Kluyveromyces lactis: one gene and its partner. The protein of the gene in region 2 purifies or fractionates together with the protein of the main gene of each other region. This does not show direct contact. Links are inferred from orthologs where the notes say so. Each region holds a gene or a part of one and is shown on either strand. Other genes may lie near its edges. The genes, in order: RSC9 and SFH1.

Evidence for each region.
Region 1: the proteins of SFH1 (region 2) and RSC9 purify together in Saccharomyces cerevisiae (affinity purification with mass spectrometry; 5 studies listed by BioGRID). This does not show direct contact. The link is inferred for Kluyveromyces lactis from reciprocal best matches to the Saccharomyces cerevisiae genes SFH1 and RSC9.

The regions. Positions count from the first base shown.
Region 1 is NC_006040.1:880,715-896,741, reverse strand, and holds RSC9 (Rsc9p), read right to left. Parts: upstream 14,594-16,027; coding exon 12,899-14,593; downstream 1-12,898. Other genes in the region: GTPase-activating protein SST2, read right to left, coding at 1-731; cyclin-dependent serine/threonine protein kinase SGV1, read right to left, coding at 1,850-3,787; ERG13 (hydroxymethylglutaryl-CoA synthase), read left to right, coding at 5,227-5,328, 5,849-7,141; RPM2 (ribonuclease P), read left to right, coding at 8,903-12,565; double-strand break repair enhancer MSC1, read left to right, coding at 15,836-16,027.
Region 2 is NC_006039.1:1,622,718-1,638,234, forward strand, and holds SFH1 (Sfh1p), read right to left. Parts: upstream 8,089-15,517; coding exon 6,760-8,088; downstream 1-6,759. Other genes in the region: BUD6 (formin-mediated actin nucleation enhancer), read left to right, coding at 30-2,123; EST2 (telomerase reverse transcriptase), read right to left, coding at 2,148-4,733; TAD3 (Tad3p), read left to right, coding at 5,016-6,002; NKP2 (Nkp2p), read right to left, coding at 6,008-6,463; EFB1 (translation elongation factor 1 subunit beta), read left to right, coding at 8,811-8,890, 9,181-9,724; CORVET complex membrane-binding subunit VPS8, read left to right, coding at 10,074-13,670; ERG26 (sterol-4-alpha-carboxylate 3-dehydrogenase (decarboxylating)), read right to left, coding at 13,717-14,772. UniProt on the Saccharomyces cerevisiae protein: Component of the chromatin structure-remodeling complex (RSC), which is involved in transcription regulation and nucleosome positioning. RSC is responsible for the transfer of a histone octamer from a nucleosome core particle to naked DNA.

The DNA of each region.
Region 1 (16,027 bases), on a different chromosome or scaffold from region 2:
GGGTTTTCACCAAGCTCGTTTACGGCGAAGTCTGGTGACACATTTTCAAATGAGAAAACATCTGAGCTTCTTTGATCCAATAAGTCAGAGAGCTTAGGAATTTTATCTGTTGGATTTTTTGGGGACCATATATTAGGTTTTGGACCCATGACCTTGTTGAACAATAGATTTATGAAGTATTCGCTTTGAATGACAGAATCATCTAACGTATTTCGCTCGAACTTGAAAAGATTCATCGTATTGAAGTTTGAAGTTAATATTGGAGGCAGCTCTTTCAATGCAAACTTCCTGGCATAATCACACGTTACGGCCACCCCTTTAGGAGTCGGCTGCAAAAGAATGTTCTCTTTTGGCCGACTTCTTGTCTTATCCGCAGGTGTATGTAGTAATTTAGCTTTCATAAAAGTGTTCAATAGCTGGTATCCCAGTTCTGGTTTGATGGAATAACTGATGTAGATACTAGTGGAATTCATTTCCACATTAAGCTCCAGCTCCTGTAGTAGATCAATAGCCTCCGTAATTGAAAATGTGAACGGAAAACTTTTCTTAGCGAAATTCAAGAGTCGATTGCTACTTGATCTTGGTTTTTCCTCCAGCGGAAGACATATTATCATAATAGAAAATACTGTTTTCAGTTCATGAGTTAATATTGAGCCATCGGGTGAGCGGTCGAAGCTATTAGAAAACAATTCATGCAGCGTTTTTTCCTTTTTATTTGACTCCGAGACCATATTATCTATTCATAAGAAGAAGTAAATCAAAAATAACAAAGAGCGCGACAGTACAACATGCATATACCTCCTGGTATAAATACAGCTAAACCCCCCTTTAATTCGTGAAGCGAAGCCAACAGTCTTTACGTCTGAATAAATTCGAAGTTGTCAGTTCTTGGTTTTGCAGTAACGTACAATCCACATAAATACCAACTGCAAGTATCACCTCTCGAGAAGTAGGGTTGCTAACATTTGTATCGAACGGCTCAAAGCATTCCTGGTGCTCTATATATAAAGGCAAATGTTGATGATCTTAATGGCTTGTTTCAGATTATCACGGCGTGGTTATATCCTGGTTCACCCAGTAACGGATCTTTTGAAACAATGTTGAATTGTTTGTGATCAAATCATTTTCCTTTTTCCCTTCCAGCGTGTTTTTTGGGCAATATTGACATGAAACATGCAAAGTTCCGGTACAAACCTCAAAATGTCCAAGAAATAGGAAAATGAAACAATAAAGCTATGATAAGATCGGTGGAATTATTATACCGACATTCTAATCGATACTCAAACACAGTGTGAAAATGAGGCACTGTTTGCCTTCTTTTAATTATTTGTGCAAATCGGTACCTATTTGCTTGTTGGAATTGTTTATAGCAAACACATCGAGCATCAGTTGAAACGTTCGAGGAATTTCTGTGATGCACCGCCAACAAAGAAATTACCCCAGGGTTCAATTCTGCTGGAAAGTGCATAACTTAATGACCATGTTTAAATTGTTTATCAGTATATTTAAGTTGCTGCTTGGTGATTATTGACGTGCGTAATTTTGATTTGGTTTCCAAATCTGGATACATCAACAATGAATTTATACCAGCAAAAAATCTTCATCAGCCATAATTTCCCTTTTATACGTAATGATATCATTCACAGACCACATATCATAATCTGGTTAGCACTTTAATGGATGAATTTCTGGGATACATGAAGAGAAACAAACGCACTTTCCCTCGTAAACTATCTATATACTATTTAACAATCTCGAAGCAGCAGGCCACTTTGGGGAAAAAACATGTCAAGTTGGGTTTAAAAAGTAGAAAAGTACCAGCATAGTTTCAAGCCCAATTTAAATTTAATCAATAGTAGTCTGCAACGTCTTTTGGTTTGACATTGTTGGAATGCGATGACTTGGAATCTTTTTGCGTAGATTGTGAGCTACCATGGCCAATGGTCCCTGGATTTTCAGAAGCTCCCGGTCTGTAACTTCTCCGATCACCAGCTTGGCTGTATTGATTATACCCTGTATTTCTAGAGGTATTGTAGTCCTGATTTTGATATCTGTTAGGATAGGATCCTCCTCTAGGAGCAGAAGGACGTTGTATAGTAGGATGATGCGAACGATCAGCAGGTGGAGCATAATTGTTATTATAATTTAGACTGTCTCTACCAGTTTCCCATCCTCCTCTATTACGGTAACGTTTCCCGGCATTATACGACTCGGTAGTAATTCTTGTATTCACACCGAACCTTGATTCAGCCGGATATTTCGATGCATATGAATCACGAGGATTCGGTGGTAATTTATTTGGTCCAGTCGGTATACTGTTTTTAGGACCTTTTGGAAGAGGCGCAGTCGGAATAGGTTCTTTGGGGATGTTCTGAGTTGCTGCACCATTGTACCGTGAGGCGGAGGGTTGCGCTGGAATGGTTGATTTTATGTGTTCTGGTCTAGGAGCCTTTGGTATTGAAGCCTCTTTTGGAAATGCAGCACCTGTCACAGCTCTTATGGAATTATCAGTCGATGTATGTCCTGTTGGGGCAGATGGCGGTCTTTGAGACATAGATTCGTTCATCTCACTTTTGTATCTTTTAATATCGGATTCGTGGCATTCTTCGTTAGGCAAAGTTAGCTGTGCATTTGGCAACGGTTCTTCGAAGAAGAAAGGGTGTTTTTTAGCCTTCATGGCAGTTACACGCTTGTATGGATCTAGAGCTAGTAATTTAGAGAGAAGATCCAAACCTGTCTCGTTCAACGCTTTCGAAAATCTTTCTTGCAACGTACTTTTATAGTTTGTTTTTGTCAACTCGGATCCAGGTAAATGGTAAGCTAATCCCCATTCATCCATCGATGGTGTTCCCATGAGTTTGAAGATGACATGTCCTTGATCAATATCTGTTTGACCCTGAAGGATTGGTTTTTTCTCAAAGAACTCAGCAAATACACAACCAATCCCCCAAATATCAACTGCCGTAGTGTAATGTCTATCACCCAATACAATTTCAGGAGCTCTGTACCAACGTGTAACAACGACCGAGGTGTATTTAGCACCTGATCCAGCACCACCAGGATATTTAAGATTTGGCGGAGAACCATAATAGTTTCTTGCTAGACCAAAATCTGCAATTTTTACGACACCTTTATGATCTATAAGGATATTGGCTGTCTTAATATCACGATGCAAAAATTTATTGCAGTGAATATAGTTAATACCTTCCAACAGCTGTAGCATGATGTTTTTAACATCAGCCATGCCGAACTCCACTCTGGGGTTATGTAACAACCCTGTTAGATCGGAAACCATGTATGGTAATATCATGAAAAAGTGTTTACCTGTTATGAGCTTCTGCTGATTTGCCGTGTTGTTTCCATGATAGTTCCCAACAGGTCGAGGAGACGTACTATCTGTCTTAGGAGTTGGTGACTCGTCGTAGACAATCTCAATCAACTTTACGATATTTTTATGATTCATGCGCTTCAAAATGGTAATTTCCCTCTGAGCTGTTATTGGAAACAAATCCTTTTCTGCTCGTACTAAAATACGTTTAATAGCAACCTTTCTATTTGTGCCTAAATGAATCCCTTTAAAGACTTCACCGAAAGTACCTTGCCCTAATTTTTCTTCCTCACGATAGTTGTTCAGAAACTTAGTAACACCGTACACCTTTTCATTTTCTCTGCTTTGAACCTGAATGTACTCCAAACCAGTCTTATCATCTTTAACAACAGTGGGTATCTGTTTCACTTTGCCTATCTTATACTTCAAAGACGCAGGCTTCTTATTCACAGTGCTCATGGCTATAGTATTCTTTATTCAATGCAAAGGAGCGATAGCAACGATTTTTGTAACTCTTACAACAAAAACTCCAATAATTAGGTTTTATGATACTTTAAACTGCCATGTGATGCAATAAATGACCGTTCACACAATAATTACTGATTGCAAAAGGACCGTTGTTGTACAAAGCGAATTTGACATTCATAACTATTCTTTAATTTGAGTTTAAATTTTGCTTAACATGTTATACAGGTTGAAATTGTCATTATTAAAATAATATCACGTGACCAATATGGCGTTTCTACTCAAGAGTCACAACCGCTTTAAGTTTATAACTAATAACCAGCTCTTTTGTAGATGCCATTTTGAAGGTACGGTAAGTATTCTGGGGCCTTTAACTTCTAAACAAGCCTATGAACTTCAGTAAGCCATAGTTTTACACTCATTTCAAAAATGAAATCAGACATCGGCATTAAGAATGAGTCTTATTCTACTTCTAGCTTCAATGAAAGTATATATCACTGCAGAAACATTTCGTGATCTTCTTGGTTGTCAATTAGGATAGCGCTTAATTGCGCCTTTTTGGAATATATAGTATTGAAATGACGCACGAAAAATAAAGCACTTACAAACGAATAGGCCGATCATGAAACAGTCATCCTAAACGTCCATCTGCTGAACATCTAGTGACATTGTCTAGAACACGCTGTTACTTAAGGAGTTCGCCAATAAAAATAGGTTATTCTAATGGGAAGATGATGATAAACTTGTCTCGTTCTTACTCCTGAAGGTGAAAAGTGGAGAGCATTCGAAACAAAGGAGATAACGGTGTTTGACTTCAATATTTCACTTTCTAAAGCTAAGCAATTATCAAAGTACCTATTTACTAAAACATATTTGATGGATATCACAACCCAGCTCCAAGAACAGCCTAGTTCACTGGCTGAACTATTCTTTTAGCTGAAGCTTGAACGTTACACATTTGTTTTATAAAGATACTCTCATCGCTAAGATAACAAAAAGAGCACAAAAAGCACCTCCCTCAACAAAAAAAAAGGAAGCGCTATCTCGTATGCTCTGTAATTCTAATTATACGTGCGAAAAATGGACCAAATTACGCAGTGGAGGTGAATTATCCAGCAAAATTATTTGTATCATAATATATGTTTCTTTCCTTGGCTGTACAAAATTGTACCATTTTTTTTCTTAAACGACAGATGTTACAAATTTTCATTGAGATGGCCTTTTTTTTCTTTTAACGAGAAAAATATCGACGTGATATTTAAAGATGAAAAAAAATAAGATACACTGATGATGAACTTTCGTGTTTTAGGTAATGAAAGAAAGTGTTAACTCTTGCCAGCGGTTCTTTTAATATAAGTTGTTTATACCATACTACGCTGTAGATTATATCAACACACAACTCCCATAGTTATTCAGCTAACCCTTCAGAAATAATGACTGAACAAGATCTAGCCAAGAAGCAAAAGACTGTGGATCAACCACCAAGACCTCAAAACGTCGGTATCAAGGGTATCGAAATTTACATCCCATCTCAAGTATGTTCTTAATACGTCAATTACTGTTATAGCAACTCACGGGCTTGCATATTTTGTTGAATTTGAGCGTTTTCGAGACTTCTGTTCCTACTTTGCTGAAGTACAGCGGCTGTGCAAATAAGCTTAAACGAGGAATACAAAAAAAACGGACACAGATAGTTGCCAAACAAGAGGGAATTATTGGCCAGTTCTTTAATTATGGATAGGAAGGCATCATTTGGAAAATTTACTAGCTATCAGCTCTTCGGTCTTCTTTCTTTGTAGGCGCTGTTGGTCCTTATATGTGTTCCCTCTGGTTTTGCCGCCACTAGTAGAAAAACAAGAACAAAGTGATTTGCATTGAAGTTGAAATCACAACAGTATTAACTAACTGGATAAATGCATCTTTTAATATGGACAGAGCATATCCTACCAAACGCGCATCTGATCCTTCAAACTTTGCTACGAGAAGCCCTCACCGCGTTGTTTTCTCAACCTCACCCAGTCTTACTAACATTTATACTTTATCCTTTCGAAACAGTGTGTCAACCAAGAAGAATTGGAAAAATTCGACGGTGTCTCATCCGGTAAATACACCATTGGTTTGGGTCAAACAAACATGGGTTTCGTCAATGACAGAGAGGATATTTACTCTATGTCTTTGACTGTTCTATCTAAACTTTTGAAGAACTACAACATCGACACCAACAACGTTGGTAGAATCGAAGTTGGTACCGAAACTCTACTGGATAAGTCTAAGTCTGTCAAGTCTGTTTTGACCCAACTTTTCCCAGGAAACTCTGATACAGAGGGTATTGACACTTTGAATGCTTGTTATGGTGGTACCAATGCTCTTTTCAACTCTTTGAACTGGATTGAATCTTCTGCTTGGGATGGCCGTGATGCTATCGTTGTTTGTGGTGATATTGCCATTTATGAGAAGGGTGCTGCCAGACCAACTGGTGGTGCTGGTACTGTCGCTCTATGGATCGGTCCAGATGCTCCAATTGTCTTCGATCCAATAAGAGGTTCCTTCATGGAACACGCTTATGATTTCTACAAGCCAGATTTCACAAGTGAATACCCTTACGTTGACGGTCACTTCTCATTAACTTGTTACGTCAAGGCTTTGGATAAGGCTTACGAGGCTTACTCAAAGAAGGCAATCGCCAAGGGTCTAGCAGCAAAGCCTGCTGGTAACTCTGCCATCAACGTAACCGAACATTTCGACTACAACGTGTTCCATGTCCCAACTTGTAAATTGGTTACCAAGTCTTATGGTAGATTGTTGTACAATGACTTCAGAGCCAACCCATCTCTATACCCTGAAATCGATGCATCTTTGGCTTCCGTCGAATATGAAACTTCTTTGACCGACAAGAATCTGGAAAAGACATTCGTCAATGTTGCCAAACCATTCCATAAAGAAAGAGTAGCTCCTTCCTTGATCGTCCCAACTAACACTGGTAACATGTACACTGCTTCTGTATATGCTTCACTTTCCTCCCTATTGTGCTACGTCGGTTCGGATGCTCTACAAAACAAGCGTATTGGTTTGTTCTCTTACGGTTCTGGTTTGGCTGCATCTTTGTTCTCGTGCAAGGTTGTCGGTGACATCAAACACATCGTCGATGTGTTGGACGTTGAAAACAAGCTAAAATCCAGAAAGACCGAGTCTCCAGAAGATTACGAAAAGGCTATCCTGTTGAGAGAACAAGCCCATCTACAAAAGTCTTTCGAACCTACCGGATCCATTGAAAACTTGTACCCAGGTACTTACTATTTAACCAATGTTGACGACAGGTACAGAAGATCTTACGCTATCAAAGAATAATTCAATGCATAGAAAAATGCATTAAACAAATTCATTTATCATTCTCATCCATTTTTCTCTGTTGTCTATCTACAAAAACGATATCTTGATTTTTTTGTCTTCTGTTGAAACCTTAATAAATCTTACTCGTTGACCAATCCTGATCTGCGCCCTTCCACCTGACAAACTACTTTACAGAGGAAAGGAAAAAAGAAATACCTTGCTAGCTCTATGTTGCACCAGTATTTTTAAAGATGTGATACTTCTGTTTTATTCATAATAAACAGTATTTGCGTTGAGATAAAGTAAGCAAAAGATAGTATCTATCGTCATCTTCGTATCCGCAACCCAATCTCATATCCTGCAACCACCTCGGATACCTTGCTGGTCCCCACACTAAACGCAAACAGGCAGAAAATAAATATATTTATATGTATATTTTAGACACACCACACACGTAAATTTAATTGCCTTTCCATTCATTACTGAACTTAAACTTACCTTGCTCGATTGATTGTGTTTTTCAGAGCTTCTTCCTGCCATATTCCTAGCTTGTATGCTAGCAGTAAGCCTCTCCTTCCGAATGTCACATCCAATCCTATCTCCCGATGGTAATATCGGTCCAATTCCAAAATACGCTATTTCCCATAGCTAGTCATTCCTTACGATCCTTTTGTAAATACGAACATCGCTTAGCACTGTTTTCGTTCGAATTACTTTTCCCAGTCTGAGTGAATTTACTATGCGAAACATCGCTACCGTCCAGAAATCGGCCAATAGAACACAATCGACAGAAAACGCTAAAAAAAAAGATGATTGAAGCAATACAGTTTTACGGTAGTTTCTATGAAAACACCCGGACACCACACCATAAAGCTCGTCTTTCCGGCTTCTGAGGAATTTATCGTAACAAAGCTAGTAAGCTCCAACAGTTGCAGAGCTTAGCCCTCTGACTCCTGAGTGTGTCCGGAAGAAAGAACCAATAGGAATATTACTGAAGCACGGTAAAGTTTAATTCTGTGCCACGTCACAGCAAATCACAGCTCAGGGATCAAAAATAGACCTGGTGGTTGATCTGACTACTTTTGTTTCTAGGGTAATACGCTCATGTCCTAAGAAAAAATGACTAACCAAAAGAGCTATCCCCGGGTAAGAAGTAGTTTCGCGGCTCTAAATAATAAGCGTTCATAAAATTTCCGTGCTTTTTATGGGGGATTCCCTCTGTTAAATCTCTGCAGCATATCAGAATGCTTCTTTTCCCTCCGTATCAGAATGACAGAAAATAAAGAAAACTGATAATTTGACAAAAAAAAAAAGTAGAAAACAGAAAGTAGAGAAATAGGAAAAGAGAAAACTTCATATATCTATAGAATCAAATATTCATCCCTACCGGTAATATTGGCTCAGCGGTCAATCAAGAAGTAAGCACAAAAGTTGATATTAAAAGGGAGCTACAGAGTCAGTAAAGCTTAGTTTCTCTGTATAGAATAAGCTTCAAGCTGGAATCATCTCTCTTATATTCACTGATTGACTTGGTCTTTTTTCCCTTCCCTGTCACGCTGGACTAATTGCATCATTATTGACCGTTGAATTATTTACTGTCTCACTTTGTTAATTTGGAGGGTTGATAGATATTATATTGGCTTCCATAAGACGAATCTAACTTTACCGTAAAATAAGAGTACCTTGGGATAATTGTCCTTCTTTTTTGACAGGAAAGGTATTTAGTTCGGACTTATTGTTTCTTCTCTACATCGTTCAAATAGTGGGTTAAAAGACAGGATGCACTTCAAATCATTGAAATGTAAGTTCTACTGTAAGGGGTATCATTCCTCTGCACATAAATCGGCAACGTCCTTTTTTGATAGCTCGTACCAGTATTTGAAACAGAATCAGGGACTTGTGAACTTGGATACTGCTATTCCTCAACATAACATTTTGACTGCTGTTCCACATCCCGTAGTGGTGGCCAACGTTAATTATAATAACGTGGAAAGGGCTTTACAGAGTAGAGACGCAGAGCTGTCGAGATTAGAATCAGAGGAGCTAAATTTATTTTATGAAAAGGATGGTGAAATTTTCTATTCTGGCGAACATGATGTAAATTATTCGAAGAAGAGCTCGTATGGTGCCAACCACAATAAGAAGAAGAGATCCAACTCGTTTACCTATCTATCGAATGAAAAATCTGCTCTAATTAACGAGAAGTTGTCTACCCGTTATTATTCTACCAAGGTACAAAATTCTCAAAATAATGCAAATAACAATCTACGAGCAACTCCGATCACTCCTCCAACTTCACCTCCTGTCGAAAAGCATCATAGTTTAGAGAAATCTGGAGCGAAAGAACAAACGGATAAAGGTGCAGTGCCGGAAGCTCTCTTAGATCGTTTAAAAGATGTAAGATTGGATGACTCAATCCCGGCATGGGAAACAGATTTGGAACCATGTTTGAATAAAGAAGCATTTTTAGAAACACAATCTAAGCTGATAGAAGATTGCATGAAGAACAAAAATTATAATCAGGTTAACGCAATTTATAAATCGTTGATAAGAAATGAAATTGTTCCTCCGTTGTCATTATTTGAACAAGTTTTGACTTCTATTTGCAGAAGGGACTTAGATCAAAATAATATCGATAACCAAATGTTTGAATTACTTAACTGTTACCAAGATATAATTCAGAATAAATTAAAACCAAGCGCAGAAATCTATCACCTTGTTGTAGGTTCATTGTTGTCTGGATCAATCAGAGCGTTTGAGTTACACAACACCAATGGATTAGATTTTTTCAAAATTGCCATTGATCTGTTCTTTGCTTCTAATTTGAATAAGAATAAGTCCTTCGACCATGAGTTTTTAGATAATCTTTTGTTGGCTATCAATTTATACCCTGGCCACATAAAGTACGGCTATATCAAGAATTTCATTGATTCAAACGTGAAGTATTCAAAGAATGAAATCTATTACATTTCTTTAATCTCGTACGCCAAGATGTTGAACGAACATGAGGCAGTAAAAGACCTTTATCAAGATTTTAGATCAGAACTTCTGAAAAATATGCAATTGGTTGAACACCAATATGAAGTGTACTCTGTCGTCGTATCAGCTTTTGCTGAAACTGGATCGTTAAGTTTAGCTACAAAGCTCTTAGATAAGCTTCTTGTGGATCTACAAGCAAAAGATGGGCATAACAAGAACGTTTCTTTGGTCATTTCGAACTTTTTGATATCTGTCGGTAAAATAAATTCGGAAAAGGCATATAAGTTGTTGATGGAATTCAGTAAATTAAAATGGGTACCAGAATTCTCTTATGAATTCTACTTGGTCATGATCGCAAACTGCCTCAATACTAATTGGCCATTGGTGAAAAGAATATACAATTATATTTTCCCTATGAAAACGTCATTCAACACCACGAAAAACGATAATAAAATCAAAAATTATTTATTGTATCCAAGTGGATTGGAATCGATGCCCAGCACTATATTGACATACGCCCTAAGGCAAAAAGACGACGAGCTCATTATGAAATTGGTCGAAGAATCGAATGTGAAAAAGACTACATTCCAAAGAGGATTGTACCCTTACATTTTTAGCTACTTCCAAAGCATAGGTTGCCCGGAGCCTTACTTACTTCGTTTTGTGAATATTCATGGTTCTGCACTTTCAACCGATAGCAAGCCTCTAGTATTCGAATTTTTGAATGCATTGGTCGAAAACTATCAATCGCAACCTATCTTGAAGAAGGTATCAGAAATGCCTTTCTTTAAGAGTGCCTGTGAAGCGTTCACTCTTGAAAACGCTTCTGCAGTTAATTACGCAGGTTTCATTGTTTGTTTCCAAACGTTGTGGAAAACTCCTCAATTGATTCAGGATTATTCTTACAATCTTGAATTGCATGGAATAGCTGTTTCGAGATTATATGATCTAGATACCTACTATTTGGATATTCAAAATGAGATGTTGTTAGATTTCAAAAAACAAATGGCTGAAAGATTCCAAAAGCTTTGCGTTAACTACAAACGAATTCATTTGGATGCCAACAAGATTTCCCCTGTAGCAATTCAAGCTATGAAAATGGTCGATCTTTCCGAAGATACTGTGGCTTATTTCCAACACCCTGGTGACTGGGACAAATCTTACCCATTAAGCTTGGGTCCGGTATTGCGTAACTCCAAAAGGACAGGGTTCAAGCAATATGAAAGACTTTCCGAAGATGGCTACAAATTTGATTATGATACTTTCTCCGAATTGATTCACCAGAAATACATAACCTCTGATGTTATAACCAAGACTATCAATTTATGTCCAGACAAGGAAACCCTCAAGTATATCTCTAATTGTATTGTTGTGAAATGTCCAAAGAATCTTTTGGAAGAGGAGGTAATTCAACATCAGTTATTCAGTAAGATTCTTGAGAACCTAACAGATAAATCGCTATCAAAGCTTGCGTTAAATTGTGAAAACATCCGGAATTTTATTAATGCTGTTGGTTTCCCCGATAGGTTCAAAAGTATTACTTCTCAAGCGGAGTACAAAGGCGCTACCGCGGTTATATTTGCAGCGCTATTTAGAGCGAAGGACTATAAATCAGTTATCATGTTCAATGAAATCTGTCCATGCCTAGACATTTCATTGATCTTGAAATCTTTCATTCGCCTAGGTGACTATGATAATTATCTTTCTCAAGAAGCGAGGTTTAAAGATTCTATGTCGCCTGCTGCCCTTGGCGTAATTCGATCCGAATATCTAATAAATCAAAAGAAATTTGAAGATGCAATGTTACTGCTTAAATCTTTCCCAGATGTTATCGATCATCAAACCTATGACAAGTACTCTTTTGCATTATTTTTATCATCATTCTCCGGAACTCCTGTTGATGTAGACTTCCAAATCGAAAACACGTTGCAGTTAGCGAACGTGCTCTCAGCCCAACATTCTTTCCACAATATGATTCACTGTTACGAAAGCATGACCAAAGGAAAGGAATTTTCACAAGACTTGAAGTTGAACTTTGGCATTAAGATGGAAATTACCCAACAAATTCTCAACAATATTGAAGATTCTATGCAATTTCTTGATTTAAATGATACTTCTATTATAGAGAACTATTACTCCAAACTCGAAAACTACATGAGATTCAGGGGTTATCTTAAAACAATAACTTTCACCGAAGACCAAATGTTGCAGTTGCTCAATATATGGCAAAAAATTAACCCAATTTTGGTTGACAATTTGTTCAACAACATCGTCGAATCAGTATGTTTGAACAACGCTGTAAAGGTTATAAACTTCAATGATAATGGTTCTTTTAACGTTAGCAAGACCTCGCTAATGGTACTTTTAGATTCCATTTCTGCCATTTACAAATCTGAAGGCTTATCTGATCATCATTCTAAAGTGGAGAGTTTCAAAGATATTATAGATTCTTCCATGCACTAAACAACTTTCTGCTGATGTTACCTTATTCTTACTATACTTCTATCATACTTTCCATGAACAATCTGTCTCATGAAGAAAGTTTTATTTATTTATTATTTGATGAGTTTTACGATTATTATGACAAAAATGGGTTTACGCTGATCCATTCGATACAAAATTCTGATATTGTCAGAATTGCTATCATCTATTTTTTATTTTGTTTCACCATTTTTAATTCAATTTTATACATTAGTTAGGTCTCCCGTTGTTTAATTTTTACCTTTAATCGATACGTTATACATTTAATTATTACAAAACTACAACTTTAATTACTCTATCGGCCTAACGGTAAGTTCAACCTGAATGTATGAAGTCCAAAAGAACAGTATTTAAAGGTGGCACGTCAGCAATTTGATGTAATATCAAAGGTTTCATATCATGAATAAATTGTGCCACGATCTCGGTACTATCGTTAGAAACAAGTGAAAGGAATGACGCACTTGCTTTAGATACATCAGAAAGATTCTCGGGGAAAACAATATCTGGCAAACAAATTTGAACTGCTTCCGATGGAGTATTGTTGCTTTCAAATTCATCCGGGGTTTCAGTCTGTATAGGCGAGGACTGGTCAATATCTTTATTTGCCTCTACGATTGAAAGAGCTTTTCTGCGAGGCTGTATACCTCTTATTACAAATTTTTTCTTCGACGTTGCTTCATCTACAACTACCAAAGCGGATGCACCGGGCAAAGCATTCGAAACATTTTTAATGAAATCAACGGCAGTTATCAATTTTCGATCTGTTAGTTTTACTTGTTCGCTGAATGTTTGTTCATAAGTTTTCCATAGAAGAATCTGTGTTACTTCGCCATTCAGAGATCTCTCAAAGCAGCATCTCAACCAGGAAGTGGCACGCATTGGTTCGTTTAGCTCAAATAATTCCTTGAGCAGTGGCATTGGCAATTCAGGCGCGTGTGCTGGTGGTTGAGGTTTTACCCTCTGTATAAGTTTGATATTAGTATTCGAAAGGGCATGATAATCAGGGGTTGATACATGATACGTGAGGAGAACAGGGAGAGTACTAACTAGGATATCATATCTTTCCTTATGTGATAGTAATGTCTTTATTCTCTGATGACCAGGTAATATATATTGATAAAGGAAATCTAATGAAGCAATTATTAACTCTTCATCCCTATCAATTAAAAGGTTATGAACAATCTTGTTCAACAAACTATCATCCAAATTATCTGCTGCACTCTTTTGGTCCGATTTAGATCTCACCAAGAGTCTAGATAATGATCTCAAAATTGAGATCACGCAGTATCTATCCTTTGTATCACGAAATATCAAACAGAGGTTTTGGAAATATAGATCGTCTTTTTTTGCTGGTGCAATATAAGATGAAATCGCCTCCATTAAATCAAGAGTATAGATTAACAATTCGTTGAAACTGGATGTATGTGACTGATAGATTGCCGAATCCTTCGAATTGAACGTATTTGCCCACTCCAACACGAACAATATGAACGATTTCAATTCCATATCGGTGGCTAATATCGAAGTGTTTTCCGAGTCCTGTGCCAAATTTCTCAAAAGAAGCATTGTAATTGAACCTTTTTGTAGGGCTTCAAAAGCCTGATTGGAAATTGGGCCAACAAGCTGTGGAATGTATTCTCTGCATGCTGTAATCAAGGGCATAATAATGGGCAACAAATCCAAATTCTCATTCAATTTGATAACATAAGAAGCGTTAATGCTATACCGTAAATATCTTTTCAATGCAAATTTAACTTCTTCGTCTATTCCACTTAACAATGCCATCTTCATACGGGTGAGATCATCAACACCAATCTTAGAGTTTACAGGCAAATGATTGAAGATAGGCAAACTGCCTAATGATTGTTGCAACCCAGCAACAGGCTTAGCGGTAATACCATTGGTCTGGTCTCTGCTAATATTTAATTGTGTTGCGGGCAATGTCTTCAAGCTTGGAATCGCTGTTTCTCCTTCAGCATTGATCACCGGAGTGACTGAATGGCTGGACATCTATTGATTTGTGAAGCACTAGGTATCACACAAAACTAGAAAAAAGCGAGTCTCCGAAAGAAGGTGTGTTTAAGGTATCTAGATCGCCGATATAGGTACAAAGAAAGTAAGCTCCATCTAATTAGTCGCGTTTTCCTTTTCTGTCATTGTACATATTAAGAAGTCCATCTCGAATCTTTCGTTGTTTTGCATGTTGTTGAATTTCGAGTTCAATAATACGGCTTATATCCGGGTAAATGATTACATAAATGCTCTCCGTACATAGTAACAAGGACAGATTAAAGACTATATGCTGTTGCTTAGTGATTCTAATCATAGTTCTGACAGTTAGGTTTATCCTCTTTATGAACACTGACTATCCCCTCTGTGACAGCCTAAGTCCTTTTCAAATGGTTATGGGAACAACGAGTTTAAATTCACCTCCCTGGCAATTGACGTTGATCATGTGACCGAAAAGTGGTAATTCCACGCTAAGGAACGGATCATCAACCGATGATTCAGTGTAATCTCAACATCAAATCGACTCAAACGACCCATTGATTCTCTTCCTTCTTTTCCATTTCTGCCCTGATTCAAACACATTCTAATTACCTAATTAGTTTCCTAGACCCTAACTCCCCCAGAGTTATCACTCTCAGTGATCTGATCTGATTACTTACTCATACATACATCAAAGCAAATTCCACACATCACGGCGTCCGGAAGAATTTTTACCTTAAGGCACAATACAAATGGTGGCATTGCCATCTGCAATTTTAAGACACAGTCGTCCTTTTGCATCGTTTCTTGCTGCCATTAGCAAACCGCAAAAGTCATTTCTTTAACATTAGCAAAAAGACGTCTTTAGAATCCAAAAAATAAGGGAAAAAGGTAACGGGTTAGCGAACATCATAACTGACGCTATTGTGAGCTTGGCTAGACCATGCGTGAGTATATCCATGTCACCCTACCCCTTATTATAAGTGTGTAGAGCTATTATTTGGAACTAAGTGTGGCCATCGATTTTTACAACTTAGTGTGATGCATTGTCACTGTCAACTAGAAGTTTGTTCTGGCAATTCCCATTCTATATATATATATATATATATATATATATCAACAAACGTGGAACACTTTCTCTTGCTTAACAACTGGCATTTTTAGGCTTAGGTATATTTGTATAGGATATCATTTAAAGTGTCTGTTATTAATAAGATTTATTGACATAGCTTATTACACAGAATAACAATATTAATACGCAGGATGAAGCTTAGTAGTGCTTTGATATTTTGTGCAGCTGCTTGCCAAGTAGTTATTTGCAACAATCTATTTGAAAATTGGTCTAGTCAAGACATTATTCAATATTTGAAGGACACTGGTGACTCTGCTAAAAAGGATGCAGACACTTCACTTGAAGAATTGAAGGCTTACGCTAGTCAGAAATGGTCTGAGCAT
Region 2 (15,517 bases):
GTGAGGTACGTAAGGTGTGTCTGATAAAGATGGAAACACCACCACCAATTTCTAAATCAGCATCATCTGTGGAAACTAGTGTGACGAAACTATTGATTTCAACTAAACAACTATTACAAATTCTGACGCAATGGTCCAAGGGCAAAGTTACCGAGCGTAATGTTTCCGATGTGTATGTTCAATTGGGTAATGATTTCAAGTTAGTCAGTAGACATTTTACCCATGCTAGAATTGATATTTCGGATCTTGGCGATGTGCCAAAAGACCTTCGAAGAATATTGGAGGTGGCATTGAGAGAGACTGCATCTGAGGAAACGTTGAATAAATACCTACCGCAGATCAGAGATATTATAGTTAAACTCTTGGAGAAACTTAAGGTTAAACAGGCGATGATAAAACTGAGCAGGAATGAAGATGCTTTGAAATATCAGCATACTCCTCAAAGATCTTCCGTTTCATCCGTAGTCAGCGCAACGACATCTTTGGCTGGCGCGGGACCGACATCTACTTCAGCTCATATTGAAACAAAACAGATACCTACGTTAGAAGTTCCCAAGGGTTCTGAAAGCGATGCGTTAACTCAATTGAAAAAGGGAAATAATCTGCAAAGAAGAGCCTCGAAGAGGTTTTCAGCGTATCATATGGCGAAATTAGCCAACCAAACAGCTTCAGATCCATCGAATTCCCCAACGTCTAAAAATTTAGCAGTTCCAGCCGCTGCTGCAGCGGCAGCAGCGGCCAATGTTTCTGATACAGAAAGCATTAAAATGGAAAGACAGCCTTCTCGAATCTCTTCTGCTTCATCCGTAGATTATCATCCCATGACAGGAGCACCAGAACCAAAAGGTGATAACTCAAGCATAGATGAAATTGTTGTCTTTTTGAAGATCGGTGAGAAGGTGAAACGATGTGTAACTAGTTCTCACCTCTCTTTCAACAAGCTTAGACTTTTATTTGTTGAGAAATTTGCATATTCCCCAGGAGGTGATGTATTCCCTGACATATATGTGAAGGAACCCAAATACGAGGCATTTTACGAACTTGAAGAGAGTCACCTACATGGTATAATAGATGGGAGCGTATTCCAATTACAGGTACAATCATCGTCTCTAGATGAACAGTTCCGCCAACTTCAAGATGGTTTATTAGAAAAGCAAGATACAATTTTTCAAAATTTGAAAGAGATTATCCAAAATAGTACTCACGTATCGTCACCAGATTATTCAAGTGGTCCAAAATCCTCAGATTCTGCAACAGTTATACATGAGGATCATCGTAAAGAAGTTGCTCATATTAGGCACGAAATTACCGTTTTAAAACAGATACATAGCGACCAAAAGAGATCGCTTCAAAATACTATAAACGCTATCGTGGAAAAACTACAGAAATTCCAGAGCCTTTCAATAACTACAGGAAAGTCAGCTAATCGCGATTATATGGAAAAGTCCCAGTCGAAGTTATCCGAAGTTTCTGATAATCTTTTGAGTAAAGTTGACGATCTTCAAGATGTCATTGAGGCATTACGTAAAGATGTGGCCATTAGAGGTGCGAGAACACCCAAGAAGAAGATTGAAAATGTATCGTCTGAATTAGACTCCGCTAAGAAGGATTTGGATCAAATGAGAAATTATATAGATGTCGAAAAGCCAAATTGGAAAACTATTTGGGAAGCGGAATTAGATAGGGTGTGTGAAGAGCAACAGTTCATGACATTGCAAGAAGATCTCGTATTTGATTTACAAGAAGACTTGAATAAGGTTATGGAGACATTTGATTTGGTTAAATTGTGCTGCGAACAACAGGAAAAGGCCCCAAAGAAGAATAAGGGAAACCCCATTCTTCCGATAGCCAAGCCAGGCACATATAATATGATCCGCGATCAAGTCTTGACTGAAGTTCAGAATCTCAACCCAGATCATGACAGTAGAGTGGAAGCCATTAAAAAGGCAGAAAAACTAAGAAACAGAGAGAAAGAGTACAAGGAAAATGAAGCCTTTGAAGATGAGTTGGGCAATTTCGTTGAGAAAGGTAACTTCAAAAAGGCCGGTGGCATTGAGGAGATAGAACGCCTAAGAAAACAAAAAGACGAAGAAAATCTGCGTGTTAATTTTGGTCTGATATAGGTACAATAATTTTAAGTAATAGCATTAAAACTCTATTAATAGTTTCAAATCGCTGACATTTGTCAAAATGTCTGCAAATGCGTTCTTCCTTAATTTTAATTGTTCAAGGAAAACTGACAACACCAGTTCTTTTGACGCGACGGACTTTTCCATCGAGAACATATTAGCTGAAGAGAGGTTAAGATCAATTCGCTGAAAAATGTTGAAAACAAATTGTTTGAAAGATCTTCTGCTGCTTTTCTTCCTATTAAAAAGGACAATGAACGATTGAATTACATTTAACGCAACTTCTCTCAGGAACCTTGCAGCCGTTTCCCAAGAATTTAAGCGCTCGTCCAGCATATTATAAGATAGTCTCATCTCAAAGATCCAGAGTAATTTATTATACAGTTGCTTAGATGATCCCAAAACTGTTCCTAGGACATTATACGATGAGCGGTCTTTCCAAACTTCTAGGGTTCTTAGATTTAACTGCAGTGCACAAAAAGGTACATTTGTTGATGTTTCAGATTCTGATGAAGTAACCAAGACTTTTTGTGGGTTTATATAAGTATTGAAAGATTTGAATCCTGTTTGAGCCAGATTATTAAGCCGCTCGATGTATTTCTTGGAAGTTGAAACTATTAGAAAATCATCCACCAGCCGTATTATCATCGGATCTGAATCATTTTCATCAGTAAACTCGGTGTAGAATTCAAGTAGGTCGTCATACAATATATCAACAAGAACGGAAGATAAGGGAGTTCCTTGAAAGAGTCCATCTTTTCTTAAGTAACACTTGCCTCTGTAAAAGATACTGGTTTTGAAGAGTTCCATTTTAACTACTGTTAAAACGTCTTCTTTTGATAAGACAGTAGTTTTGACTGAATCAATTACTAAATCATTTTCCTGGAATTGTATGTCTCCATTTACAGCATGAAGCCTTTTCAGACGAGTGGAAGCAGTTGTCAGTATATCTTGAGATCTAATAAAAAACTGCTGCTCTTCACATATCCGAGCCTCTACCAATTTCATTACTTTCTGAACCGGAATTGAATCATAGCAGGATTGAATGTCAAACTTTAAAAGATAGAGATTCGGTATTTTACCATGTTTTAAAAGTAGCCTTTGCTTATAACTTAATACAATCTTGGGTATTTCCAAAGGAGAGAATGCTTTTGTAAACTTGGTATTTCGTCTCATCCTCAATCTTTCCAGTATAATCTTGGTGGGCTTCAGAGCGTTCGTAACGTAATCATTAAACTCGTTAAACTCTTGTATATTGACTCCTTTACACGGCACCGCTATTATTCTGAAATCGAGGCCTGATTTTTTTGGTATTAAACGAAGATTTCTGTGATTGAACTTGGATTCTGTGAAAGATCTGTGCTGGAAACAATATTTATTCTCAAGCAAATACCTCCTAAAGTAAGATTTCAAAAAAGGTTGTGACATGGTTTTCCAAGTATCATGACGAATATAAACTATATCGACAGTCGACGATAGTTCTGTCACATAGAAAAATGTAGATAGTAATTTTGGGACGTAACAGGAAAGGATCCAAAAAAACAGTTTATAAAGAAGCGCTTGTCGATTTTTCACATCATAATATGGAATCTTTTGAGTTTGTTCACCAGCTGGAAGCCGCCTTGTTTCTAGCCATTTGACATCTTTCACACGCAATCCTTTACATAATTCATCAAATAGTATCTTTGAATGGAGCGGTTTTTTGACAAGTATTGCAATCGCTTTTGATAGAACGCTATAGTTTGAATTTGATCCTAACAGGTCCAATGGGAACGTTTTTCTAACACATACAATGAGCAGTTTGATGACACTTTTGGGTGATGAATAGAAAGTATCTGATTTGGGGCATATATTATTGATGATGTGTCTATATGAAAACCTCTCGTGAGCTCGAATGAGCTCATATAAAATGGGTTTTAGATTATTCAATGCAAAGTTTAGAGAACGAGGTGTCTTACTGCTCTCTGATATTTTCGGAAAAATCTCAGCTATTAACAGCCCCTGATCAGTCTCAATGATATTCTTGTAATCTTGCGGTCTTATCTTATGATATAGAGCAGAGTTCCAATCTATCGTTAGCTTAGTATTTCTTTCCCTCCTATACGACCGATCTAGCCATGCAGGTGGCACCTGAGGCGCGTTAGCGGGGGTTCCAATTATCTGCCTGAAGTAATGGCCGGTGTTGAAATATACGGAATAGTTGATTAACAAATTCACAAAATTGTCAGTGCCAACCAGCTGATGGAACAATCTCCAGCTATTACATTTCAATACACTTACGCTTATGTTCGATGAACGGCAAAACAGTTTGGTCATGACATCTGAATTCTTTCCCAGCTGGTAACCATAAGTCAGTATATTATTCGTAAAATTCTTGTGCAAAAGGTAGAGAATGCATGTTTCTATAGTTTCACAGTGATACGATGAGCTGAAAGTAGAAGATATTTCAATTTCAGGAGGTACGCAATGTTTGCTGTTAACTTGTGCGAAACAGCTGAGTAACAGATTGGATACCCCATTAGAGTCAGCATTGATCAGAATATCCGATTTTCTGAGGGTTTCATAGCACTCTAAAGATTCCAAATATTCGACAAGAATTTTCATCTAAACCAATTGATATAGGTCATTATTCGAAGTCACCTTAGTCATCTCGATGATCAATTTAAGGTTCTTATTAATTATTCTCAGTGTTCATCTTTCTTACGAGCATGATCTAAACTGGTAAATAGTGTTTCGTAGCCTATAATTTCTGGATATGAATTTTTCAATGATAGAAATGTAAGATGCGATGCGATGAGATGATATACTAATATGTAAAGGGTAAAGGAAATGGATGCTTAATTATAGCTCTAGATTTACTAGTTATTCACATGAAAAGCTAACAGTATGGTTAAGAAACATCTGAACCCCACTAAGATCGATTTTATAAAATGCATCGTCGAAGATTGCCTCTGGCAAATTCGAGATACCAAAAACGTTGATGTGCCTGATCTAGTTGAGGCTTGGTCTATCGAAGTACGTCCAAGGGAAAGTAAGTCAGTGATACCATTCGTACGAGGTATTCAGGATAATGACCCCGTTTCATTCCTTCATGTGAAACGGATCAAGAAGCTTGATAGCGACACACTACGAGTACTTATCGGCTCCAAAGAGTACATACCGGATAGATCAACTTTTGACAATATGCTGAAAGGAGTCGTTTTCCAGTATGACAATGTGAAAGACGATAACAAAGTACCGAAGGTCGGTCCATCGACTAAAAGCTTAATGTTGAAGTGGAGTGAACAGTATTGGCCGTTAATTTGGAGAGGAAATCCTAATGACCAGATATTAAACGACTATATATTTGACATGACAGAGATTCGGTCATTGTTAACCAAGATAGCAGAAGAGTCTCGAGCAATCCGAGATTCGGATAGCATGCAACTTCCAATAGTATCGGCATTCGTTAATCCAAAATCTGGTAAAATTATAATATCAAAGGATTATAGACATAGTGGATCTCCCCTCGATCACAGTGTTATGGTCGGAATAAATGAGGTAGCTAAAGAAGAGCAGGAGAGAAGAGACCGTGTCCAAAACGGTACCGCGTCAGAAAAAGATATACATCAAGGGGAAACTTATCTCTGCTTAGATTTTGACGTATACACCAGTCATGAGCCGTGCTCAATGTGCAGCATGGCACTAATTCATTCCAGAGTGAAAAGATGCATATTCATCAATCCTATGTCGGTCAGCGGTGCACTGAAACCTGATTCAGGTGATGGATACTGCATGCATTCAAACAAAGATTTGAACTCCAAGTATGAAGTCTTCCAATGGGTTGGTGAAGAATTGGAAGTGCCTGGAATAGATTCTACCGTGTGTTCTTGAGCTTTTCAACTAGAAGGTTGGTTGGTTTCCATGTCCGTTATTAATTTTGCAACATTATCGTACATGGAAGTATCTATTGCTTCAATGTCACTGAGTTCCATTGCATATTTCAAAAGTTTTGTATTTTTATTATCTAGTTCAATGTTTAATTGATTTAAATGCTGCTGCAACATATCATCAATGCTATGCAATAGTTTATTTACTTCCTCGAGAGAAATGGAGTCTTCAATTTGTTCCCGTTCGAGCTCAACTCTTATCAAAGACAGCTTGTTGTCGATGAGTTTATCTATTTTTTCAATGATCCGTTGATCATTCTCTTCATAACTTTTGTATAACTGTGACGCGATCACAGTGTTGGATTCCGGTATCGTTCTAGAAAATAGATCAACAAACTGATCCTCAGTATACAAACGTGAGACTAAAATGCCGTCTAAATGCTTGTATAATACTTCGTGGAGCATAGTAATTGAAGTAATAAGGATTTCGGGTATGTACTTTTTATTATTCCCAGCGTACGCATTACTGATTCGCGATGATCTTTGATCTTTTTCTATTTGTTGTGGAGATTTTTGGCGACTAAATAAATAATAGTCTGACGAAAAGGAAGAGTATTTGTGCAAAACCACAGATGACGGTGGTATTAATACATTAATGATACATAAATCTCCACGAATAGATGGAGAACTTTATTTTCTATACAGCTTTGTCTAATGGGCGTCTGTGAAGTTAAACTGCTTGGCCGGAAAAGAGAACACACTTATATTCTCAAAGTAGTTTCCAAGTCATCCATTCTCCTCTTGCCTCTTCTTCTGGATCTTCCGTCATCGACCTTGGCACTTTCTCTCTTTAATCTTCTCATGTTTCTCTCCTTTTCAATTTCACGCTTTTCGATTTCCCATTGTGAGAGGACTTCTACCTTAGGGAACCATGAGGCGCCAAGTGTATCTATATCTAGACGGATACCTGATGTGTAACCGAAAGCTGCCTTATTTTCTACATGGGCCAAATTCAAATTACCTTCGAGCCAATCCTTCTTTACCTTTAGCAAGGATTCATGCAACGAATGTGCAATGGCAGGAACGAACTCTCTTTGCAAGCCCAGGTCCTGTACCACCAATTCTGCGAATTGTTCTGGGCATAATGAATCGTCATTAAGGTTCCATTCAAAAGTGTCATCATAAAGCTTGGAATCGAGATTTGCAGTCAAATTTATTATCACGTGTAAATCAGGAACCTGTAAAGATGCCAATGTTTCATATTCTTGTAATTGTTCGTTAATCATAGAGATAATCTGTGTATATGGGGAATTATTTGGGTTGGAAAGCACTGGGAAATCAAGATCCTGGCACAAGATCGTAGCAAACTGTTCTGGAGTCATCGAATGGTCGTTCAAATTCCACATGAAAAAATCTGCTAACTTGTGTCCACTGAATTCAACGTTTAACCGTATTGGAACCATTATCGGGCTTTCTATATCCACTTGCTGCGGATCCTGGATAGAATCTCCAAGAAGGTCTTTATAACTGATAGCGATCCTACTTTGCACGAAAGTTTCCCTAATCCTAGGATATTTCAACAAAGCTAGCGGAGTGGCAGAATCATCCTGACTTTCAAGGTCGGGCAAGTCGTTTAGTTTGATGCGATCCAATTCTGAGCTAGGATTTGACGTTCCTGCAGTACCATCGTTTGTACCGTCTGGCCCAGTATCTGCAGCCGGCGTTCCGCCAGTGACAGCACCGGGGTCACCAGACCCGGGCGTGCCCTCACCAATGCCACCATCTTCACCGAGTCCCGCCGCTGCGGCGGCGGTGGCGGCAGCAGCCGCAGCACCTCCATCACTACCGTCTACTTGATCATAGTAGTCCCCACCCCTACGACGACCATCCGAATCGTCCACATCATCCTCCAAATCATCCTCATCGTTCTTGTCGATGAATTCATCCAAGAGATCCGTATCGAACTCAGCGTAGTTCACCTGTTTACCCCTCTTGTTTCTCGATAACTGCGCAGCAGTAAACAACGGAACATCCTCGTTCTTCACTCTATTATGGAAGTTACTCAAGTAGGCTTGCGGTACGAGCGACATATCAATACAATTTTGGGAGGCAGGTCGTAGTTGCTTTGTCTGCTGTATATCAGCACGCTTCAATGAGTAAACCGTTTGTTTGTAGTAACACTATCATAGTCTTTATTCAACCAGCCCTAAAACACGAACTTGCACTTCTATTCTTGAATTGATGGATACTTTTTCATATTCGTATACAGTGATGAGTTGATTGAACAATCTAAGTGTTACCCTGAGTAAACATTTCACTTGTCAAAAGAAAAGGAATCCAGTTTGAAAAAAATGAAAAAAAGAACACTTTCTCAGAAAAATCCGTACCGTTTTGGAACCATTTACTATGGCAAAATCGTTTTTCAAAGGGGTGGACCCATGATTTTTGAAAATAAACTTGGTTTTTCTCAAATTGTCGCAGGGCACGCCGCAGCGTGCCCTGTTTTCTGCTGTTGCCTTTCCAGTATCTATCTCATCGCACTTACAAGGAAGAAAAAAAATTTTCTTCCACCGCACATTGCATGCACTTTGAATACACGTAGATGCCATAATTCCATAGTACATACGTCTTACATATCATATATCTCATAAATATATATATATATATATTGGAACTTTTCGAATTAGAGTTTTTCATCAGCTTTTCAGTATTTTTTTTTCGTCAATTTGATTCAACGTTCCTTGTAAGAAGAAGAAGAGGAATTGATTCTTTCCTAGTTTCTTCTCTCACCAGGTTTAACTATCCATTAACGATGTCTTTCTCTGATTTCTCCAAGGTCGAAACCTTGCAAAAGTTGAACACTTTCTTGGCTGACAAGTCTTACATTGAAGGGTATGTGAAATAATTATAGTGGTGGTTTTCCAATGGCATCAAGCAGTTTTTTGAATAAGAGAATTCTTCAAAGTTTACTATTTCAATGATGAACAAATTCTTTGGTCCGTGTTTATGACGGGAAGTAAGACCCCCGGTATGAGTGACAAAGAGACAGTACCTAGACAGTACGATTCTGATTTATCTTTTTTATTGAATTCTCTTTTCAGCAAGCAAGCTTAGCTGCCATACAAAAAAATTTCATTTTTTTGTTCTTTCCATTTTACTAACTAACAATTGCATCAATATAGTACCTCTGCTACTCAAGCTGACGTCTCTGCTTTCAAGGCTTTCCAATCTACTTACCCAGAATTCTCTAGATGGTTCAACCACATTGCTTCCAAGGCTGATCAATTCGAATCCTTGCCAGCTGCTACTTCTACACCAGCTGCTGCTGAAGAAGAAGATGACGATGACGAAGTCGATTTGTTCGGTTCTGACGATGATGTCGATGAAGAAGCTGAACAATTGAAGGCTAAGAGAATCGCTGAATACAACGAAAAGAAGGCTGCTAAGCCAAAGGCTGCTGCTAAGTCTATCGTTACCTTGGATGTTAAGCCATGGGATGACGAAACCGATTTGGAAGAATTGGTTGCCAACGTTAAGAACATCGAAATGGATGGTTTGAACTGGGGTGCTCACCAATGGATTCCAATTGGTTTCGGTATCAAGAAGTTGCAAATTAACATGGTCATCGAAGATGCTAAGGTTTCTCTTGATGAATTGCAACAACTTATCGAAGAAGATGAAGACCACGTCCAATCTACTGATGTTGCTGCTATGCAAAAGTTGTAATTAAACTAATTTAAGTTCTTCACCTTTTTCCCCTTACATAAATGAATAAATAAATATACTATATTTCTCAACGACCCCCTTCGTGCTTTCTTGCTGGACCCGAACCCTTGCTGTCTCTTTTATCCTGTTATGTTCATCTTTCTTTTAGGTTTACAGCCTCTGAGCATCTTAAGAATAGAAATGTGCATAATATAAATGCATATAGATAATTAATTAAACATCATGCTGCATTTAAGGTAAAATATGAGAAAAAAAAACAGGAAAGGCAACAGAAGCCCTACGGTCTAAGTTCGGTTAAAACAGTTTTCGATTACCTGTTTGTCAATTGCCAGCAAGATTCAAGTTTCAAATGAATGGCTCTCATAGTACTGGCCACGATAAGAGAAACAACACAACCGATTTCGAAAAGTTTAATCCCTTTAAGAGCTCTCAGGATGAATCCCTGCATGTAAGCTGGACTTCATTGCAACAAGTGTATCCGAATTTATCATATTATGGGGGACCTACTTTCATTCTTCCGGTTCAGCTCTACTATATCATAGGTACGGCAAAGGGAGCCGTTGTTATCTTTAACAAGAAACAATTCGTTCAATCTGTACTAGCACCATCTTTACCAGATTTTAGATCCAAGGTAACATTTATCGATATAAATCAGGATGGTACCCATGTTTGCGCAGCCTATGAATCCGGTGATATATTCCTGTGGGACTTAAACTCTCAAGTCGATGAAAATTCCGATTCTAATCATCTAGAAGCCGTGCTGCATATTGCTTCTCATAGAGGACATTCCTTTAATGGTCTTAATTTTATCCCGGGGAAACATACCAATATTGCAGTCAGTGATTCTACAGGACATATTGTACTTCACAAGGGTACTAGAAATCATCTTTGGCAATTGGTACCTAGTGCAAAAGAAATCTTGAGGCTGAATCCAATGATAAACCCTTTATTGACTACGCGCATTCGAAGCAACGGTGAAGATTATGATGCTGAACATCTGTTAGCAGTTTTATCTAATCGATCCTTCGCAGTCATATCATTGTCATCGCCAACTTTATCAACTTATCGGCTCATTGAATTGTCACACAAAAACTCGGCCACTTTTGGATATATCTCCTGGAATGACGTCAATCCAAATCAGGTTGCCTTCTCTGTAGATAACCAGTTGAGCCTTGTCGATATCAGGTTTCCGACTTTACAATGGACGTACGAAGCTCCTGAATGCATTTGTAAAGTTGCCTGGCTCACAAATAACATTTTGACTATTTTGCTCTTGTCAAGTAAGCTTCTCGTTTTAAACATAGGTAGTGTTGATACCGATGAGGATCCTGTACTCACTAGTATTGACTTACTTATTCATGAACTGATGGTTCCAGAATCTGAGAACCATTTCGCTACGTTAAATAACACGATTGTTGTGCTCACCAATTACAGTTTAATGGTGGGGAAAATTAACTCATGGTCCGATATTGTCTTACACCATATACATAAAGGAGATTACATTAATGCATTAGGAACCCTAGGTTACTATTTACAAGGTCCATCATTCGATTCGATAACCGCCTTATTACATCTGGAAAAAGACTATCAGAAAAGAATCAGACAAATTGAACCATCGTTTAACAACTTGACACTAGCAACTGTTCAATTTTTACTGAAGAAAGATGATATAAGTTACAGTAAGGTCACTGAAGCTACATCATTGATTTTGGACTTGGGAAGTATTTTCTCAGATGAAAAGATGTATGTGCTTTTAGAACAGGTAGGGGAAGCTTTGATGACCAAACATAACGAAGAATTTCAAGAAATACTTTACGAAAAAATCGTTAACGGGACAGTAACATACCTCTCACCAATACTTTTCAAGGCTGTGATGGAATACACAGTGTCTTCAGGAAATGATAGAAGGTTAGAGACAATTTTATTATCGCTAGACGGTACAACTTTGGATTTGGATTATGCTTTCAAGGTTTGCAAAGAGTTTCGTCTCTACTCTGCACTTTTATATCTCTGGACAACCATTTTGGATGATTATAAAAGTCCCCTAGTGGATATAATATTTTACTTTGCTGGCAAAGAAGAATGTTGTGTAGTTTTTGATGCTAACATTGAAGATAATACCCTTTTCGAGTACATCGAATCAACTTTATTGGGAAAAGTTTATCCAACAGAAAAAAGAGTGCCTTCCAAAAAGATTCTATACCTAAAGAACTTTTATTACAGCTTACTTTTTAGTGGCTCTTCTTTGGAATGGCCACAAGGCTCTGGAAAAAAGCTTTTAACGTGTCCCCTACCAGCAGAAGAACCAGCCTTTCCATATGCTTCCCTTTTAATATCATCAAGTGCGCAAAATTTCTTGCACGTTCTTGATGTCTCATTTGAAGATGTTCTGTTCAATGAATCCCCTCAAAATGGATTTCATTTTACTAGACAACATATAATTGATGTTCTTTTGGACATACAGAAGAATTTCAAAGAAAATCATGTGAAACTTCTTATTGCCCTCTTTGTGTTCAACAATTTGCCAAAGTATTCTCAGTTTATTCGCCTAACCAACACTATCATTGACTCACAAATAGACGTCATATTATCTGCTGATTTGGAAGGATTTGAACAAATTTCTGAAGATTGTCTTGAAGCACTATTGTCTGTTTATTCACCAGATAATATTAACGCCCTAATTGATAAAATGTCAGGAGTGGATTTTTATCGTGTTCGGCTTCTGCTATATAAAAAGGCCGGAAGATATACAGATTATCTTACCTTTATTCTTAGCGATCAACACAGGAATACGAATGGCAATGATATTATTGCAGGTTTGAAACTATGTGATGGTGCTACAGCGAAATCGCCTATCGGTCGAAGTGAAATTTGCGACCTTCTATCAGATACATTTCCGAAGATTATCGAAAATTGTCAAGATCAGCGTTCCCTTGTCTCAATCATAGACTCTTTTGATAGTAGCTTACATGAAAAAATTCTTCTTATTTCTGATCCGTTGACGCTCTTAGGATATCTTCGTATACTTCTGTCTGGGAACTATCATCTATCTGCCCCATTTTTGAAGAAAGCAAGGCCGAAGTATCTATCATTGTTGTATGAAACCGGAGATGCGTCCGGTGTATCACAATGGGTTGACAATATTGACCTTAAAAACATCGAAGTTGAGAGTATTGTAGATATTATTAACGGAAATAGGGATTCGAGAACTTTGATACGATTGCTAGTACGGCTAAAGAACTATGGGTCGGCAATAGATAAAATAAACTCGAAAATCAACGAGTTATTACAAAATAATGATTTTGACGAAATTGATAATTATTTGGATTTAGGCATCAGTGTATCCCAGAAGACAGATGAAACTAACAAGAACTGGGTTAAATTGATATCAAACTTGGTCTCTCAATACCCAACTCTTACCGATGATCAAAAAGCGTTTTGTGATAAAAGTTTGCAGAAAGTATTTATTGAGCTTTCAGATGGGAACCTGAATGATATCGAAAACTCGGAGGAGAGCTTTTTCTGGAAGACCCTAATGGAGATATTTGAAAACAAATCTCTTATCTTGAGTAAAATCAAAGATATTAAAGTGGTGTTGAAGAATATTTTCACAGCTTATTCTGTCGAAGAGACAGTGAAACTTCTTATTTTACAGATTATCAATCAAAGTGCATCATCAGATATTACAACCTATATGCACAGAAAAGAACATGGTTGGGCAATTCAGTCTCATGAGTGTGAAGTATGTGGCAAGAAAATATGGGGAATTGGAATCGATAATAAAGTCTTTGAACAGTGGGAGTCAGCGAGATGCCACGAGGTCGCCGCTAGTGGTAGCAGTGCACTCGTTGTATTTAGTTGTGGGCACAGTTTCCACAGCTCCTGTTTAGAAAACATGGGCCAACACGAGGGTGCTTTCAAATGTTTAACTTGTGACGATGAGTAAAGTTATAGATAGACATAGATATATACAATTCATATAGAGTTGGCCTTTATAAGCCTTCATCCATCCATGCCAACGTTCTTCTGATACCTTCTTCGATATCAACCCTTGGTTGGTATCCTAAAAGTTCTTTAGCTTTTGAAATGTTGTGATAACGGTAGGCACAAACGATTTTAACTCTGAAGGGAGTCAAACCTGGCTCTTTGCCCAACAATTTAGAGAAGAATTGAGATAGGTACCCCGCAGCAATAGCCATGGGTCTATTTAGAACAATAACTCTCTTATCAATATGACCGTCTGCCTTCCAAACCGTGCGTGCCAAAGCCCAAAAATATGTTGGTGTGTCATTGGTGATGAAAAATGTTTCTCCAGATACTAGCGCAGCAGTAGTTGGATTCAGAAGCTTTTGTGCGGCTAGTACGTGAGCATCTGCAACGTTTCCAGCGTAGGTCCAGTCGAACAGGTTGTTATTGTCACCAATTTGAAACTTTGATTGCCCCAACTTAGCGACTTGCCTCAAACCTGGGACCAATTGTCTATCACCAGGACCAAAAATACCGGCAGGACGTAATGCTATTGTTAGGAAGTCATTTTCTGGATCGTTTGCTGATAGCACCATTTCTTCCGCAATTGCCTTTGTTTCGTTATAACCATCCATTGGAACTTCTGGAATTGGCCAAGTTTCATCAGCATTGTGAATGTCCTGACCATTGAAAATAACACCAGCAGATGAGGTATATACTACTGCTTTAACTCGACATTGTTTTGCGACAGTTAATAGATTTTTTGTTCCCTTAACGTTGACCTTTTCGTAAATCTCTTGACTATTACCATGCATTGGAGATGCCGAGTGAACGACGATCGTGGCACCACTTGTCTCAATTGCCTTTCTAACATCAGCAGGTGACGTTAGATCACCTTGATGGAAGGTAATTGTCGAAGGATCAAAAGTGAATTGTTTTGAGATCCGATCTGGAAGTGGTCTTACGTCAAAAACATGGATCTGAGGTTGTGGTTTAAGTTCAGAAAATTGCTGAATCAAATGGAGACCTAGAAATCCAGATCCACCAATTAGTAGTACAGATTTAACATCGCTTGAACTCATAGTAGTTGTTTGTTTTACGTAGACTCAACGTATGATAAGAATTCGATTTGCCTGGTGTGATCTTGAATATCGTGTTAACGTTAACTAATATTCTCTAATTGTTTTTTTTTCTGAATATTAAAACAGAACTAAACGACAAATTTAAAGTGTCTCCCAAATTGTGAAATGGTCGGATAGAAAGATAACGTACTAATTAATAGCCATTGGTTTCTCCTTTCCTATACTTAATGATCACAATAATTTAGGTTTCTTGATCTGTTAGTGGTTAGAGTGTTGTTAAGCCAGAGTTGTATTTTTGCTTTAACATACAATTAATTAGTTCATTTGTACATACAAATTGTCCATATGCAATAGAATCCTTAGATAATGGCAAATAATAAATAGAATAAATAAAAAAAATATTTTCAGAAAATAATAAAAAATAAGTTAAAATAAATTCTTCAAAAAAATACAAAAAACATAATTAAATTCTATAAAATAAAGCAAAATTCACTAAAATCAATCAAAAGTAACACAAATGTTAGCATTCAATAACAGTTCTACCTTCAAATAAATAGTAAAAACGCATAAACAGGAACGAAGATTATAGTACCTGCTCAACTTCTTGACAGTGGAGTCTGTCGTACGTAATGTATTCAAAAATTAAGTAAAATCATAAAACATCATGTGACTAAAATCAAATTTTACATTTTCTCTCTTTTTATATAAAATAAATTTCTAAACTTTTACTTTATTGCAATTAAAA